Linked DNA regions of Notamacropus eugenii. The protein of the gene in region 1 purifies or fractionates together with the protein of each later gene. This does not show direct contact. Links are inferred from orthologs where the notes say so. Each region holds a gene or a part of one and is shown on either strand. Other genes may lie near its edges.

Region 1 (7,633 bases):
AAGAATAGTGACGAGGCCCAACTAAGGCTACTTCTATAGGCCCTAGTCACTTCTGAATTATGGATCCTTTGGTGAATGCGTCACTTTTTTTTCAGATAAAAGAATTTTATATCACCCTAAGTAACACTCATATGGTCAAAAATGTTTTCATAAGCATTTTAATTTTTATAGGTCTTAAGCACAGTGACTGGCCCTGGTAGTGCACATCTGAGTACAGGCTCTCCCAAGCATGGCTCAACTTTCGGAATACCACTGTCACCAATACCCCGCATACAACAGAGCACACCCCTCTCACGTAATCAGCCAGTCCCTCGAGTATCTGTCTCAAACAAAGCCCTCCCACAAACCACCTCAGTCATACAGAAGAAGGATTATATTTGTTCTTTTTAGATCCCTCAGGGCAGAAGTGAGAATAATGGGTAGACTTTGCAGAGAGACAGAATTAGACTCCAGGTAAGGAAAGGCTTACTAATAATCAATGTTACCCCACAGTGGAATGAACAGTAAAAGGAGATGGTGAATTCACCTTCAGTGGAAATTCTCAGGTAGAAGTTGGGTGTCAGAATTCTGCAAAGATTAAATAACTCTCATTCATGAAACTCTATATTACTATTATGGCTTTATAGAAATGATTAACTTATGGAAACTAATGATTTTAGTGAAAAATAACATTAGAAATAAAACAGGATAAGTGGCTAGCTTGGCTAAATATTTTAAAACCTTAGCACACCGCTAATCATAGTATAAGCCATCTGATTAACTGGGTAACTTAGCTCTTAATTAATTGGGCAACGGATATCTCTCAGAATCTCAATTCCCTTATATGAAAAATGAAAGGGTTGGATGCAATCAAGAGTTCTAAAGTTAGGGTTCCCAGATTGATTTCAGGGGGTTCATGGGCTTATTTTAATACAATTAGTTTTGTTTGTAATTTTATGTATTTTACTTTATGCATTTAAAAATATTCCTCTGAGAAAGGGTCAATAGGCTTCAGGACACTGCCAAAGGCAGTCTGTGACATCAAAAAAGGTTAAGAACCCCTGGATTTCATTCCTAACATTCCACGATCTTAAGAAGATAGTGTAGAGTGCACTGTAGGCCAATCAACCACTGTTAATCAATTAGGCGAATATCAGCCTCTGTGGGCTTCAGTTCCCACATCTGTGGTTTGGGCCTTAGAAATCTTTAAGGTCCCTTTCAAATCTAACATTCTATGACTATGATTCGTAATCATAAATAAAACCCAAGTAGGCTCTGCATTTTAAAAAGAGAGTGTTTACATTTTGATCAGGAGGTCATTGATACTTTGATGTTAATACCCTCCCACCCCCAGCCTAGAATTAGAATGTTATTAACATAATGCTTTACTTCTTTCCTTGATAAATGTCCCTTTACAGGAGGGAAACCAGGGCACTTCCTATTTCTGCCTATTCCTAAGGGTAGTGGCTTTTCTTCAGTAGCTATTAAAACAAAATTTGTTCTCAAATCCTGTACAGAAAAAAAAAGCAGCCAAATGACAGCATCACCAGTTGTGTCTGCCAATGCCAAGGCACCCGAGACACCAGAAGAGCTCAGATTTCTGGAAACTGTGACTTACACAAAGGTGAATTTTTAATCTCATTAGACAGAAGCAAAACAAGAGAGATCACTGTGGTCCCCTTCCCTCCTCTAGCTAATGAATGATTTCCTTTTCTATTTCGTCACTCCTCTTGTAGCTTAGATTTAAACAATAAGGAATTGAAAGGACGTCAAAGCAAGCAAGACACATTTTTCTTACACTGACTTAATTTTTAAAAAATCCTTACAGCTCAGTGGCATATTATATTGAAGCTGATGCTGGCTTGCATCTTCTTGTCTACTGAGTTTTTTTTCCCACCAAAGGGGATAGAAGAAGCAAAATTAATTTCACTGTCATACCTAAAGCACTCTCCACTGGCCTGCTGTGTCTCTTCTACTCTTTCCAGGAAAAATGATCCTTCTTTGCAAATCACCTTATGATACTTCTACTGGAGCAGAAACGGCACGTATTAAATGACAAACCGCCCTTTTGCTTCTCTTACCTCTCTCTGAAGGCTGAGGAGCTAATACATACCGAACCATTCATTCATTTTTCTTCCTAAAAACACTGAGAGCCCCCAAATGCCCAACCGGCACCCCAATTCCCATCACAAACAAACCGTGGAGAATAGGGGATGGATGATAGAGAGGCAAAACCTCTGCAGTCATAATGCATAGACTTTGCAGAGAGACAATGTAAGCTCCAGGTAAGAAAGGGCTTGCTACAGTTACCCCACAGTGAACTGGGATGTAAAAGACGACGGTGAATTCCCCTTCGGTGGAAACTCTAAAGTAGAAGTTGTCTTCGGAATTCTGCAGAGAAAATTCCTACTTAGATTAAATGCTCCCCCATCCGTGAAACTCTACGTTCCTACTATGGGTATGTAGAAAGTTCTAATTTAGAGGAACTAATGATGAGCATACCACATGAGCATACTCTCAGTATGGATTAGAGCTATATAAGTCATCAATAAATCACAAAGAAAATGAAACATCCGTGAGACCAAGTCACACAACACCACAATCAAGCAACAAGTTGGGAAAAATCAACCTCTCCCAACCCAGGGCAGGAAAGTTCATAAGATCACCCAGACCTGAGGTGCAAGGGCCCTCAGAGGTCCATCGCCAATACCCCTTACTCATTTTACAGATGAGCAAAGAGAAGCCCAGCGCTATAAAGCATCTTGTGCAGGGTCGCACTGCGAGGGAGGGGCAGGGGTGCGATTCGAGGACCCCTTTGGGGATCCTGTGCGCTCTTCCTCCTGCCCTGAGAGTCCCAGAACAGCGCGAGGTTAAGGATGGAGAGGAAACTGACCACAGAGGAAACTGACCACCCCCCGCGACCCAGTCTAGGGAAGCGGCTCCACCGAGGCCCGCGGGGCCAGGAGGGGAAACTGCGCTGGGGGGGTCCCCGCCCCCAGGCACCTGGCGGAACCCAGAAAGATGTAGCCCCACCCTCCCTCCTGGCCCAGGCTACCTCGGGCTCCCGGTAGCTGGGGGCAGGGAATGCCCCGGTCAGGGGGCTCCAAGCGAGCACAGTCCGGGGTCCTCCTCCCGCTCCGACCCTTCCCGGGAGCTTTGGAGTCTCAGCTGCCCAGGGGAGGGGCATCCCGCTGGGCGCCTACTGGGTTCATGCTCCGCCCTGGAGGGGGTGCGGCCGGGGACAGAGTCCGGCGTCCGCCCAGGCGTGGGCTCCTTGGAGCGGCGTCCCCTGGGACCTGCCTGGGCTCTCTCCCTAGCACTTCCTCTCCTCCCGAGCCCTTGTGTATTCTGGGCTTTCCCTCCTCATCTCAGCTAAAAACTCCAGCCACCCACTAAGGACGGCCCGACACTTGAAGGTTCTGTCACCTTCCCACCCTCCTTTAAGAATACGAATCCATATTCAAACATAAGGAAATTTATTGTGCTTAATTCCAACTTCCCCACCGAATAGGAGAGCAGGAAGGGCTGGTACGATTCACAGAATCCAGGAATCCAGACCCTTCTACTTTTTTTTTTTCCAGAGAAAGTAACCGAAGCCCATTTCAAGGTCAGGCAAGGTTAGAGGCACAGCCAAAATGATCGTTCTGTTAACACAGAAGTTGTTTGGAATGCCATTAGATGATAACATACATTCAGGGACCAGTAACATAAATAAAAATTGACTTTTTAAAGAAAGTTTCACGGTAGTTATGTATTCCTCTTTAATAGCAATCGTAATTATGAAGTAGTTGTGCAGATTGTAGAAAGATAAATCATGCTCTTCAGCAAGCATGTGGTATTCCAAAGGAACCTGATAGGGCAGATCTTTTATCATTCTAACTTCCTTGTCCAGATTTTTGCTTTTTTTAAAAAAAACAAAACTGTCTTATAAACTTAGATTTCCTTTTTCTGTACTTTGACCTAGCTCTTGATCTTAGCTTTTTGGGACAGTTCTGCTCCTTCCTGTCTGTGGGAGGGAAACCACAACTCAGTTTCCTCTGTATTTGACAGGTAAACACAGGAAGATAGGACATAGCCCTAGAGAATTCCCCTTTTCTGAGATGTCACTAACAGTAGTTGTGTTACACTGGACTGAGCTCACATTTTTTTCACTGAAGAGCATGGCTTTCTTTGTGTGTACTGCCAGACACAAAATAGCTGAAAGAGAAAAGATTACATGTCTAAATTTATACTATTACCTAATTCTTCAGATGTAGGGCAGCAGCTAATTTATTTAAATAATATGGGGAAGAAGGAAGTTTAAGGGAGACTAATCAGAATAACGAAAGCCTGAATTACAGAATTTTTCTTACTTTTAAAAAAATTATTTTATTTTTAATTTATTTCCATAACATACATAGTATGATAAAAAGGATGATTGCACAGGACTGCAAGCCTTGCTATTCCTTACAAATATATATTTTATATAAACATATTTTATACATAATAAACATATAAATAAAGTTAATATTTTAAAGTACATTTTTTTGTTTGTTTTACTATTAGGTAGATACAGAAACAACAATTATCCCCAACAAAATACTTTAAAGAACTCCAGCTTCAGGTCCCTTCCAACTCTATGATGCCTATTTTCTCTGATTTCTGGAGATGGTGCTAACTCCACCTCCTTCCTCTTAATGTTGTATTTTCAATGCCCAGAAGATTGAAAGTGTAGTATCATGAATTGAATTACTTTCTATTAAAAGGGACTGAAAAACATGTTCCCAGGTGGAGATGTATTCCATTTATTTCCTGGTCCATAAATCAAATGGGCTCAGGCTCTGGCTTCTTACTCCTTGGCCTGTATTTTCCTCTGATCTGTTTTATCCGGTCCTCATTTGCCTTGGGGTCTTCTGCCCATATCTTCCTCTTCCTCTAGAAAAGCTCTTTTAGCTTAAGTACTTCTCTTTCGCCTTTACCAGAATGTTCCTCTCCAGCTTCTGGTCTTCTTCACAGTTCCCACAACCTCCAAATCTCCTAATTATCTCCTTTTTAGCTTGAGTTTTTCTCCTCCTTCATCTAACCAAGACTCTTCAAACAAAGACAAGGTGACCATTTGTCAGGTATGTTTGGACTTAATTGAAAGGATTTTTGTTCTGGTATAGACAGGTTAAACCAAATGGCCTCTGAGACCCTTTCCTTCTCTAAGATTCTATGATATTCCTCGAATCGGGAAATATCCTTAGAACAAACAAACAAAACCATATGGACTCCAGATTTGGCCCTTGTTACATGTATTATAATATGTGTGCAGTTTTAGTATTTTTTTCTCTGATGCTCTAGGAACAAGAATGGAGAATACCCATTAAGATCTTTCTCTGTGCATATACATGTGATTAAATCAAACAATGCCATCAAAATACTATTTACATCCTACTGAAAAAAAATCTGTATGGGGAACATAAAGACATATCCATTAACTTAGAAACTGTTGGAAAACAGTGGAGTTATAGGAGCAGAGGGCAGCTGAAGTCAGTTGCAATCCATTAATCAATAAGCATTTATTTGGCACCTATTTTGTGTCTAGCACTGTGCTAGACAAATTCAAAGATTTTTCAAAACTGGAGAAACGCTCTCAAGGGACTTCCTTTCTAGTCTGACATAGTGGCTTCCTAGAAACTGCTGGGCTGAGGTCACCTACGCCAATCCATGTCCTTTGCCTCCCCTGGGTTTAATGCTCTGTGATTACCAGCTTCCTCAACAGGAGGGCTAGGCTCTTAGTTCTTCAGTATCATACCATCTCCCATTCCTGAGAAACATTTCTGTTTGGGGCTCTAGTGTAAGGGGTCCTCCCTGGAGAAAATGGGGGCGGAGGGAGAATTAAAATATAAATCAAGTTGGGGATAGGTGTTTTATTCACAAAGAGAACACCAAGCAATAATAGTAATGATGATAGTGACCACTTACATAGTGCTTATGAGTAGCCAGGTATTAAAGTGGATAGAGCCCAGTCCTAGAGCCAGGAGGAGATGAGTTCAAATGCAGCCTCAGACACTAGCTGTGTGATCTTGGGGGAGTCACCTAACCCTGTAACCCTGTTTTCCTCAGTTCCTCATTTGTAAAATGAGCTGGAGAAGGAAATGACAAACCACTCCAATATCTTTGCCAAGAAAACCCTAAATGGGGTCACACAAGTCAGACACAACTGAAATAACTCAACAAAAACATATAGTGCAAGCCATTGTGTTAAGTACTTTGTAACTATTATCTCATTTGATTCTAACAACAACCTTGGGAGGTAGGTGTTATTATTCTCCCCATTTTACAGATAAGAAAACTGAGGCAAACAGAGGTTAAATGACTTGCCCAGCAGAATTTGAGCTCAGGTCTTCCTGACTCCAGGTCCAGGGACCTTTCTATTGCACCACCTAATACCTAAAAGAGAGGCTACTTTTTTGGTCATTTGCAAACAGATCCTTTGTGAGAGCTGCTTATTATCTATTTTATAATTCAACACACGCACATGCACACACACCCCCAGTACTGGCAAATCAGCACCCAAAAGGGTTTTGATTATTCCTGTTCCTAGAGGTGATTCTTTTCCTTCCAACATTTGGTCACTATCTGAGACCAGAAGTCCACTGCTGGGTGCCAAGGGAAAAAAAGACACAAACATGAAGTGGTGCCATGCAAGACATAGACTTGCCCAGGGACCCATGAGTTCATGACCTTCTGCCCAGTGGGGGAAAAGAACACCCTCTCCACCACCCTGAGAGAGTGAGACTTAAATCTCAAGGCCGGAAGGAAGAAGGGGTCTGAAACCAGGGGATTGCTGCTTTGATATCCTCAGAGTTCAGCTACCAGTCCTCCCAAGGCAAGCAGGAAGCAGAGTATGACTGGGCATCCTTTAAATTAGGAGGGGAGAATAGTAAACTGGTAAATCAGTGCATTGACTTGCAGAGATTTCATTAGTATTTAAGGAGACAGAAGGCCAAGTATTATTACTGGTGAATTCAAGAATAATCATGAGCCTATTGCCTTTTGTACAAAACTGATTTCATCTTCAAATTAAAAAAAAAAAGAAATTCTCCAAATAATCCTTTGGCACACAAACTGCTATTGCGTAGTAACCCAGAGAGTCTTCCTTTATGTAGGTCGTGTACTAGCCTGATAGGAAGGTGGATAGAGGTAAGAGTAATTGTGATATGTCTGTGTCTCACCCCACAGGCATCTTGGTACCTGCCCCAGGGAAGGGACAAGTCAGTTCACCAGAAAGGTTAAGTGTGTGGTGATTTACTGCATTTTTTACAATTATTTCCTTATTACATAGTAATTTTGGATACAACCTCATTTCGACAAGGGTGATTAATTTGAAACTGTACCATCCCTTTGGTCTAGAGGTTCTTGACCTTTCTATGTGTTATAGATTCCTTTGGCGGGGCAACTAGGTGGTGCAGTGGATAGAGCACCAGTGCAGGAGTCAGGAGGACAGAGTTCAAATCTCACCTCAGACACTTGACACTCACTAGCTGTGTGACCTTGGGCAAGTCACTTAACTCCAGTTGCCTCATCCTGGGTCATCTCCAGTCATCCTGATGAATATCTGATCACTGGATTCAGATGGCTCTGGAGGACAAGTGAGGCTGGTGACCTGCACAGCCCTCACTCACTCAAA
Region 2 (7,965 bases), on another chromosome or scaffold:
TCAACAAAATACTAAGTACAGAACTTGAATGATTCATCATTCCTCTCTTCTGATTGGTGAGCGCCTGGCTCTGATGTTCATGAAGAACTCCTTGCTATGCTCATTTGATTTCCCAATCTGCTTCTCACTCTCAGGACTGTTCTTTCTCCTCCCAACCTGAGAAGCTTATACCTGTCCGATTCTGAGTAAGTCCCTGAAACCTCAGTCTCGGTTACCTTATATTAATAATGTTATAGAACTGCTGAGAGAATTGAAAAACTTATGTAAAGCACTTTGCAAACCTTAAAGCTCTATGTAAGTGCTAGTTATTTTTATTATTTAGCCAGGGAACACAAAAGAACTATTATTTACCTTGTTGAATTTATTTTTGATTCTTATGGTTTCAATATGGCTGCTACAATTGCAAACATTATATATTATCATAGAGAAGCAAGGAGTGACCTAAGAAAAGAATTTTTACTCTCTCAGTGCCTCAAACAATGCTCTAAGATTTAGTTACAGAACAATTGCTAATATGCACTGGTAGAGGGAATTTCCTCTAACTGGAGTTCCCTACACCAAAAACATCATAGATCTGGGGGTGGAGAAGTAATAGAGGGTCAAGATCAGATAGATCACTTATAGTGGAATTGAGCATATATAACAAATTATCTTCAGATAAAAGTCCATTTTAGGACTAGAACCCATTTTTCTACAAGTTAATGATGCCTACGCATAAGTTTCATTTCCCTAATTTCATTTGTCTAGAACTTTGGCTTCTTATTTTTAAAAATTTACGTGTAAAATCATTATCAATTATTCTGATTGTGAAAGAAAACCCAAAGAATATGTACAGTACTGCAAAAAAAATGCACTCTGTACTAAATAAAAAATTCAGTTCAACCTCTGCAAAGACAGTACTATGGTAAAGGGGTTAAAAAAAAAAAACTACTCAGGAAAAGGCATTCCTAAATGCTACTCTGGAGACTGCAACTAATTTCTCAAAAAATCTTAGACAAAACACAATGTATACACCTGAGTTCACTTCCTCATCTACAAAACAGAGAGACTGTGTACATGATAAGGTGCCTTCCTAACATGAGTCTATTATGCTGGTACATGGCAATTATCTTCAAAGTTGGAAAGCAATCACTGCAAACCCGGCTTTCACATAATGGCTGAAACACGTTCTTCAACCACTTGGCATTTTCATAATTGAGTGACAACCCTAGATAGAGAATTCAAAGCAGCATTTCCCCCTTTCTCTTGATTTCCTCCTCATCCTGCTTTGTCCTTTCCTCCCTTCCCTCTATTTGCGGTCTGACCAGTATTCAGTTATAAACAACACTATTTAGGAACTGAATCATGAAAAACTTCATCTACATATTATCCATCACCCGGTGATGTTTCCTTAAAACAAACACGTAAACATCGAGTGCACGCCTTGGGCACGGCTGATTGAAGAATAACACAAAAGAACTCTTCCGAAATAAGGCACACCAGTACAGGATCCACACGGCAGGAAAACAAAAGAAAGCCCCTCGCGGGCTCCCCACGCGGGCTCCCCACGCGCGCTCCGGCGCCGGCCTGGGGGAGCCTCGCTCCACGGAGCGCTACAACACCTCCAGATTCTCAGACACTCGGGCCCTGCCCTCCAGAGGCTTACATACAGGCTGTGGAAAAACACACAAAAGAAATCCGGAATAAAGACGAGACCCACGTAGGAGGAGGCTTATGTAACGCGGACAGGAGCCCCACAGCCTCCAGACCCACACCGGGCACCATACGGAAGGAGCCCGACCCAAAGCCGACACCCGCCGGGGCATCGCGGGGACAATGAGGGGGACGACGAAGGCCGCCTCCTCCCTCCGGGGAGGGAAGGGTGAGGACGGCGGGGCTGCGACCGCGGCCAGGCGGGACCTGACACCGCCACACACGCACACACACGCACAGACGCACCCCACCCAACACACACACACGCACGATCTGGTCCCCTTCCCGAGTGTCCCCGCCGCTAGCGGCTCTTTCCCGCCCGCCCATCCGTCCCCTCGCGCCCTCCGCTCGGCGCGGGGAGGAGCGGCACAAAGCCACGGAACACAAAATGAATAAATGCACATTTCCAGGGGGAGGAGTCAGCCGGCAGCCGCCGAGGCCGCCTGGGTAGCAAAGCCCAGCGGAGCCCGGAGGGAATAGAGGGAAGGGGGGGGCCGGGAGGCGGGGCCGCCGAATCCCCCGGGGCGGGGGGGGGGGGGGCGCGGCGCGAGGAGCATCCGGAAAGCAGCACCCCCCCCCCTTTTCCTCTCCCAGCTGCACTCCCCCCACCCCGAAAGCCCGGCCGCACACCAGGGGTTCTCCTAGAAAGAGGATCTGGAGAAGGGGAGGCGGCGGCGACGGCATCACTGAGCCAGGCGGCTGAGCAGAGCGCATCACTTACCCCTCACCATAGCGAGAGGGACCGGACGGGGGAGGCGGGGCGCGTCGCGTCCCGTGAGTCTCTCGCACGCCGTCCCCCCGCCAACCCGTCGCCGTAGTCGTCGTAGTCGTCGTCGCTGCCGTCGCCCCTAGACTCCCCGTTCTCTTCACCGTGCTCGGCAATAACGTTATTCCACACACGCCCCACACATAGCGGTAACGGCAGAGAGCGGCCGCCCACTGCGCAGGCGCGTCAGGAGAGGCCGGGGAGGGAGCCCTGCCCCCTCCTCCTCCCCCAGCTCTCTCTTACTGCGCAGGCGCCAAAGGCAGACAATGAAAAGGAGTTGCCTGGAGGGTCGTTGTCCCACCCACACGATTTCGCAGCAGCCCACTGCGCAAGCGTGCCCCTAGGACCGGCAGAAACAATGAAGAAACTACTGTCATTAGCTTGGACTGCAACCAACAAGGACTACAGATCCCAGGGGGCAGTGCGCCAACTCCACGACAACTGGCCAGTTCCCTTGGCATGCTAGGATTTGTAGTCTCCAGGAACTACACATCTTTCACTGTTGAAATTGAGTTTTTTTCTCCAGCCAAGGCTACTCCTGGTAGTAGTAATCGAAGATGGAACCGTAAAAAAGGAGTCATAACGTTTCATTCGCTTAATTGTAGGAGTCCATGGATCAAAACCAACACTGTCTTCCCTCTACCTAAACACAATAAAACTTCATGGATTCTCCCTTACAGCAAACATTAGCATCTAATAGACTATGTAATTGTAAGGAGAAGAGACAGACAAGATGGGAGAGTGACAAAGGCAATATGTGATGCAGAGTTGCTGGACTGGTCATAGACTTATCCTTTCCAAACTAAATATTCGAATTCATCAAAAGCGCCGCCCCCCCCCCCCGCCCCAAGGCAAAATAACTACCAGAAGAATTAATGTCAACAAATTAGAGCTCTTCTCTGAGCATGAACAGTTTGCTGCTGACTTGGAGGGAAAATTGAGCCTATACACAACTGGCAATACTGGAGCCGAAAAGGAGTGGGAAACTTTCAGAGGCTTGGTGTACATCCCTGCATTTGCTCACAAACGCTGGTGTGATGGAAATGATGGGGAAATTCAGAAGCTGGTAAATGAAAAACAAGAACTCCACAGGATTTACCAGCAGGATAATTCATCCACCTCTAAGAAGGCAGCATTTAATTCCATCAAAAGCAAAGCTTAGAGAGATGTAGGATTCCTGGCTCAGTAAGAAGGCAGAAGAAATTCAGCTTTATTCTGATGGTAACAATCCAAAGTGCTTTTGATTCCCTAAAACCTATTTATGGACCAAAAACCTGTGGTGCTTCACAAGTACTCAGTGCTGATGGAGCCACATTGATTAATAATAAGGACATGATCCGAGAGAGATGGGCTTAACACTTCCATAGTATTCTCAACAGACCATCATCAATCAATGCTGAGGCCATTGACCATTTATTTTCCTCAGGTTGGAATCAATCTCTCCTTAGCTGAACTTCCAATTGAAAAAGAAGTTTTGAGGGCCATTAGGATCCTTTCATGTGGCAAAGCATCTGATGCTGATTCTATTCCAGCTGACATTTACAAGGTAAGGAAACCATTGCTCATACAATATCTAACTGAAATTTTCCAAGTTATATGGCAAGAGGAGGTTATCCCCAGGAGTTCAAGGATGCCTCCATTGTCCATCTCTATAAAGGTAAAGGAAATAGATTGTCCTGTGACAATCACAGGGGAGTCTTTCTCTTAGTCATTGCTGGCAAAATTCTTGCTAGAGTCCTTCTTAATAGGTTGATCCTTTACCTGGGAGATGGTCTACCTGAGAGCCAGTGTGGCTTCAGAAAGGGCTGGGGAACAGTTGATATGGTGTTTTCTGCCCGACAACTCCAGGAGAAATGCCAGGAGCAGAACAGAGGTCTGTACACAATGTCTGTAGATCTGGCCAAGACCTTTGACACTGTTAGTTGTGAGGGCTTATGGAGAATTATGTCAAAATTCATCAATATTGTATGTCAGTTTCATGATGGTATGTTTGCCTAGGTTCTGGATAATGGACAATACTCTCGTGCCTTCACAGTCATCAATGGAGTGAAACAGAGCTCTGTGCTTGCTCCCATGCTTTTTTAGTATGATGTTTCCAATCATGATGACAAATGCTTTCAATGAGGATGAACGCAGCATCAAGGTCAACTGTCATACTGATGGTAAGTTCTTCGATTTGAAAAGGTTACAAGCCAAGACCAAAGTGGAGGGAGTGTTGGTGCATGATTTTCTGTTTGCAGATGACTGTGCACTCAATGCAGCCTCTGAAGCTGAGATGTAACAAAGTATGGATCAATTCTCTGCTGCCTGTGCTACTTCTGGCCTAATAATTGACACCAAGAAAACAGAGGTGCTCCATCAGCCACCACCACACCATCCATGTGTGGAGCCATTGGTTACAACAAATGGAGAAGTTTTGAATGCTGTGGATAAGTTCACTTAACTTGGTAGTGTACTTTCCAGGGATTTACACAGTGACAATGAGGTTGATGCACACATTGCCAGAGCTAGCTCAGCGTTTGGGAGGCTCTGAAGAAAAGTTTGGGAGAGAAGAGGTATTAGACTGACTACCAAACTGAAGGTCTACAGAGCCATTGTGCTGACCTCATTGTTATATGCTTGTGAAACATGGACAGTCTACCAGTGCCATGCCAGGAAACTGAATAGCTTACATTTGAACTGTCTTAGGACAATTCTGAGGATCACCTGGCAGGATAAGGTACCAGACACTGAAGTCCTTGCTTGGGCTGAACTGCCAACTATTCAAACGATGCTTCAGAGAGCACAGCTGGGATGGCCTGGCCACGTTGTTCCAATGCAAAATGTATGCTTGCTAAAAAGACTATTTTATGGAGAGCTCATATGGGACAGGCGATCACATGGTGGCCAGAAGAAGCAATACAAGGACACTCTAAAGGTCTTTCTTAAGAACTTTGTATTTACCTGTGCAACATGGGAGACACGGGCACAGGACTGCTCAGCATGGTGTGCCCATATCAGAAAGGGAGCTGTGCTCTATGAACAAAGCAGAATTGAGACAGCACAAAGTAAACATGGAATGCACAAATTTGGAGTATCCAGCCCAAATATTCACGGGGACTACCTGTGCCCATCCTGTGGTAGAGCATTCTGAGCTCATATCAGTCTGATCAGCCACAGCAGACACCCTGAAATTTCACTTTAACACGGTGTTGTCATTTGGTCCTCTTCCAAGATGAAGAACAACCAACAATGGTAGGGCAAAGATCTTCAGAAGCTCATTTTTTTGGTAGTTGGGTGTTCCAGACTGCCTAAGAAACGAGAATGGGGGAGGGGGAAATTTGGAGTCTGAAGGAAGGGGAGGGTGGAGCCTCCAAGCTGTCTCCAGGCAACTGAGCTTGGAGGCCAAACTGTCTCTTCCCTGTGCGCGGTGCTTCCTGGGAACTGTAGTGTTCCGTAGACTTCTTCAGGGTCTAGAAAGCGGCAATACGAGAACCTGACGGACTACAACTTCCACTATCCATCATGGGGGCCCGCGGGTGGACAGCGCCCGCCCCCTCCCGCCAGCCAGGTCCTGCCATTCAGGCGCCCCTCTGACAGCGAGGTCTGGAAGCTAGGAGGCTGTGGGCCCGTTGCCCACCGAGGAGGTTCTGTAGGAGCTTCTACGGGCCGGGGTCACTGCATGGCGAAGGCCTTGGGGGATCCTGCCCCGGCAGAGCCCCTGAGGGACCCTACCCTGGAGGAGGCTCTGGGGGACTCTGCCCTGGAGGAGGCTCTGGGGCACTATCAGCGGAGTCTCAGGGGTGAGTTACGGGTCGTTTACCGCAGCCCCAGCCCCGGGCTTCCCCGGGCTTCTTTCCACGGTCTGGGCCGGCGCTCCTGGATCTTTCCTCCGGTAGCTCGTGACTTGTGTGTTTTCCAACACTTGTGTGAGTTCCTCCCCGCCACGCGGGCAGCCTGATGCCCGGGAAGGCTTGATGTGCCCAGGGTCGGAGTAGGGTTGGGATCCGGGGCGTTGCTTAGCTTCAGAGACATGGCCTTTCTCTCCTCCTTGTCGGGGTGTCCTCCTCATCCCTCCAGCACCGCTTCTCCTTCCTCTCATGATCGTTCCCCAGGCCTTGTCCCCTATACCCCTCACCCCATTATTTCTTGATGTTCTCTTTAACGCATCCTGCTTCCTGGAGTCTTCTAAAGTCGGCTTTCATAGGCGCTGTTGGGTTAAAATTAATCAAGAACCGTTAGCAAAGCACCCTTTATTGATTGAAACCAGATTCTCTTGGAAAAGATCCTTGCCCCAGGATCGTTATCCCCGGGAACCAGATAACGCCTGGGGCGATGTCGCTCCGAGCCCAACCACCAACTTTTCAGGTTTCTGTAGGAACTGGGTAGCCCTGTTTGCTGTCATCCTAGGTGAGTCACCTGATGACTTTCGGGTTTTAATCAATGATCACATTTGATGGGATCTCAAGTAGGAAACAGCCAACGTTGTGTCTACTGAAATGGCAGGAATTTAAACATTGGTCATCTTTATTTAATGAATACCCTTCTGAACCTGATGAGTGAAATGAGACCTGTTCACTTTGAAAGCAGGAAACAGTTTAATAAAAGTAATCTTTTTGTTTTGTTTTTATGAAAATAAAGCCCAAACGTTCTAGTTCTAGCTCTTTGAGGGTTTCCTCCCTTGCATATCTGGTAGGACTGGCTCCCTCTCCCACTGACAAGCTCCTTCTGTCAGTTCCCTCTAGGAAGGACCCCAAGAAAATGTACTGATTGGGACAATTAAAGAACAGTCAAAATCAGCTGAAGCAATAAAGGTGTCACTTCCTCCTTAACCTAAACACCTCCAACTCCATTGCTCCATTCACTATGTAGTAAGAACTCATTTAATAATCATTATACTTTACTTAGTATTTCTAGACTATATTGACTTTCAAAGTCATAGTTATTTCATTATTAGGTATATGGTCAAAAAATGTTTTTCTTCTTTTTGCAAATAGCAAAACTAAAGTGTAGAAATAAGTTAAATGATTTGTTCTCAGTTTATCAGTAGATCTAGAAGTGGAACAAAGGAAGATTTCTAGATCTTTCAGAGCATTCCATATTTTGTCCAACATTATTTGCTGAATTTTATTTAGAAGCTCCTATATTGTTCTTATAAAGGAAGAATTTAAAATTATACTGAAATCACATAAAACTTCCGCTTTAGAGAGGAATAAAGATGCTTGAAGTAAAAATGTGTATTCTTGAATAAATGTTTCAAAATATTGTGGAGTTACTTCGGTGTAGTTCCTTGTGTTTTGAATATCCATGCTTGAGAATTTTATCATTGTTATAAATATATGATCAGTTAAAATGTACTAATGTAGTCTTGTGTTTTGTTTTTAATTAACAATGATTCCCTCAAAACCTCTTCTTACTTAGACTTTTGATTGGTCCTAATACGTGCTTAATGGGAAACATTCAGTGTCTATCTTTCCCTTAATTTTTTTCTACTTACCAAGAGGTATAAATATAGTTATCACCACTAT

What was found.
Region 2: the proteins of CCDC68 (region 1) and CEP170 purify together in Homo sapiens (co-immunoprecipitation; 3 studies listed by BioGRID and IntAct, counting the BioPlex papers as one, with this or other methods). This does not show direct contact. The link is inferred for Notamacropus eugenii from reciprocal best matches to the Homo sapiens genes CCDC68 and CEP170.

Annotation. Positions count from the first base shown.
Region 1 is NC_092875.1:436,187,247-436,194,879, reverse strand, and holds the start of CCDC68 (coiled-coil domain-containing protein 68), read right to left. Parts: upstream 3,201-7,633; 5' UTR 3,035-3,200; intron 1-3,034. UniProt on the Homo sapiens protein: Centriolar protein required for centriole subdistal appendage assembly and microtubule anchoring in interphase cells. Together with CCDC120, cooperate with subdistal appendage components ODF2, NIN and CEP170 for hierarchical subdistal appendage assembly.
Region 2 is NC_092873.1:404,072,286-404,080,250, forward strand, and holds the start of CEP170 (centrosomal protein of 170 kDa), read right to left. Parts: upstream 3,148-7,965; 5' UTR 2,414-3,147; intron 1,862-2,413; coding exon of another isoform or gene 1,816-1,861; exon of another isoform or gene 1,588-1,815; intron 1-1,587. Other genes in the region: SDCCAG8 (serologically defined colon cancer antigen 8), read left to right, coding at 6,120-6,240.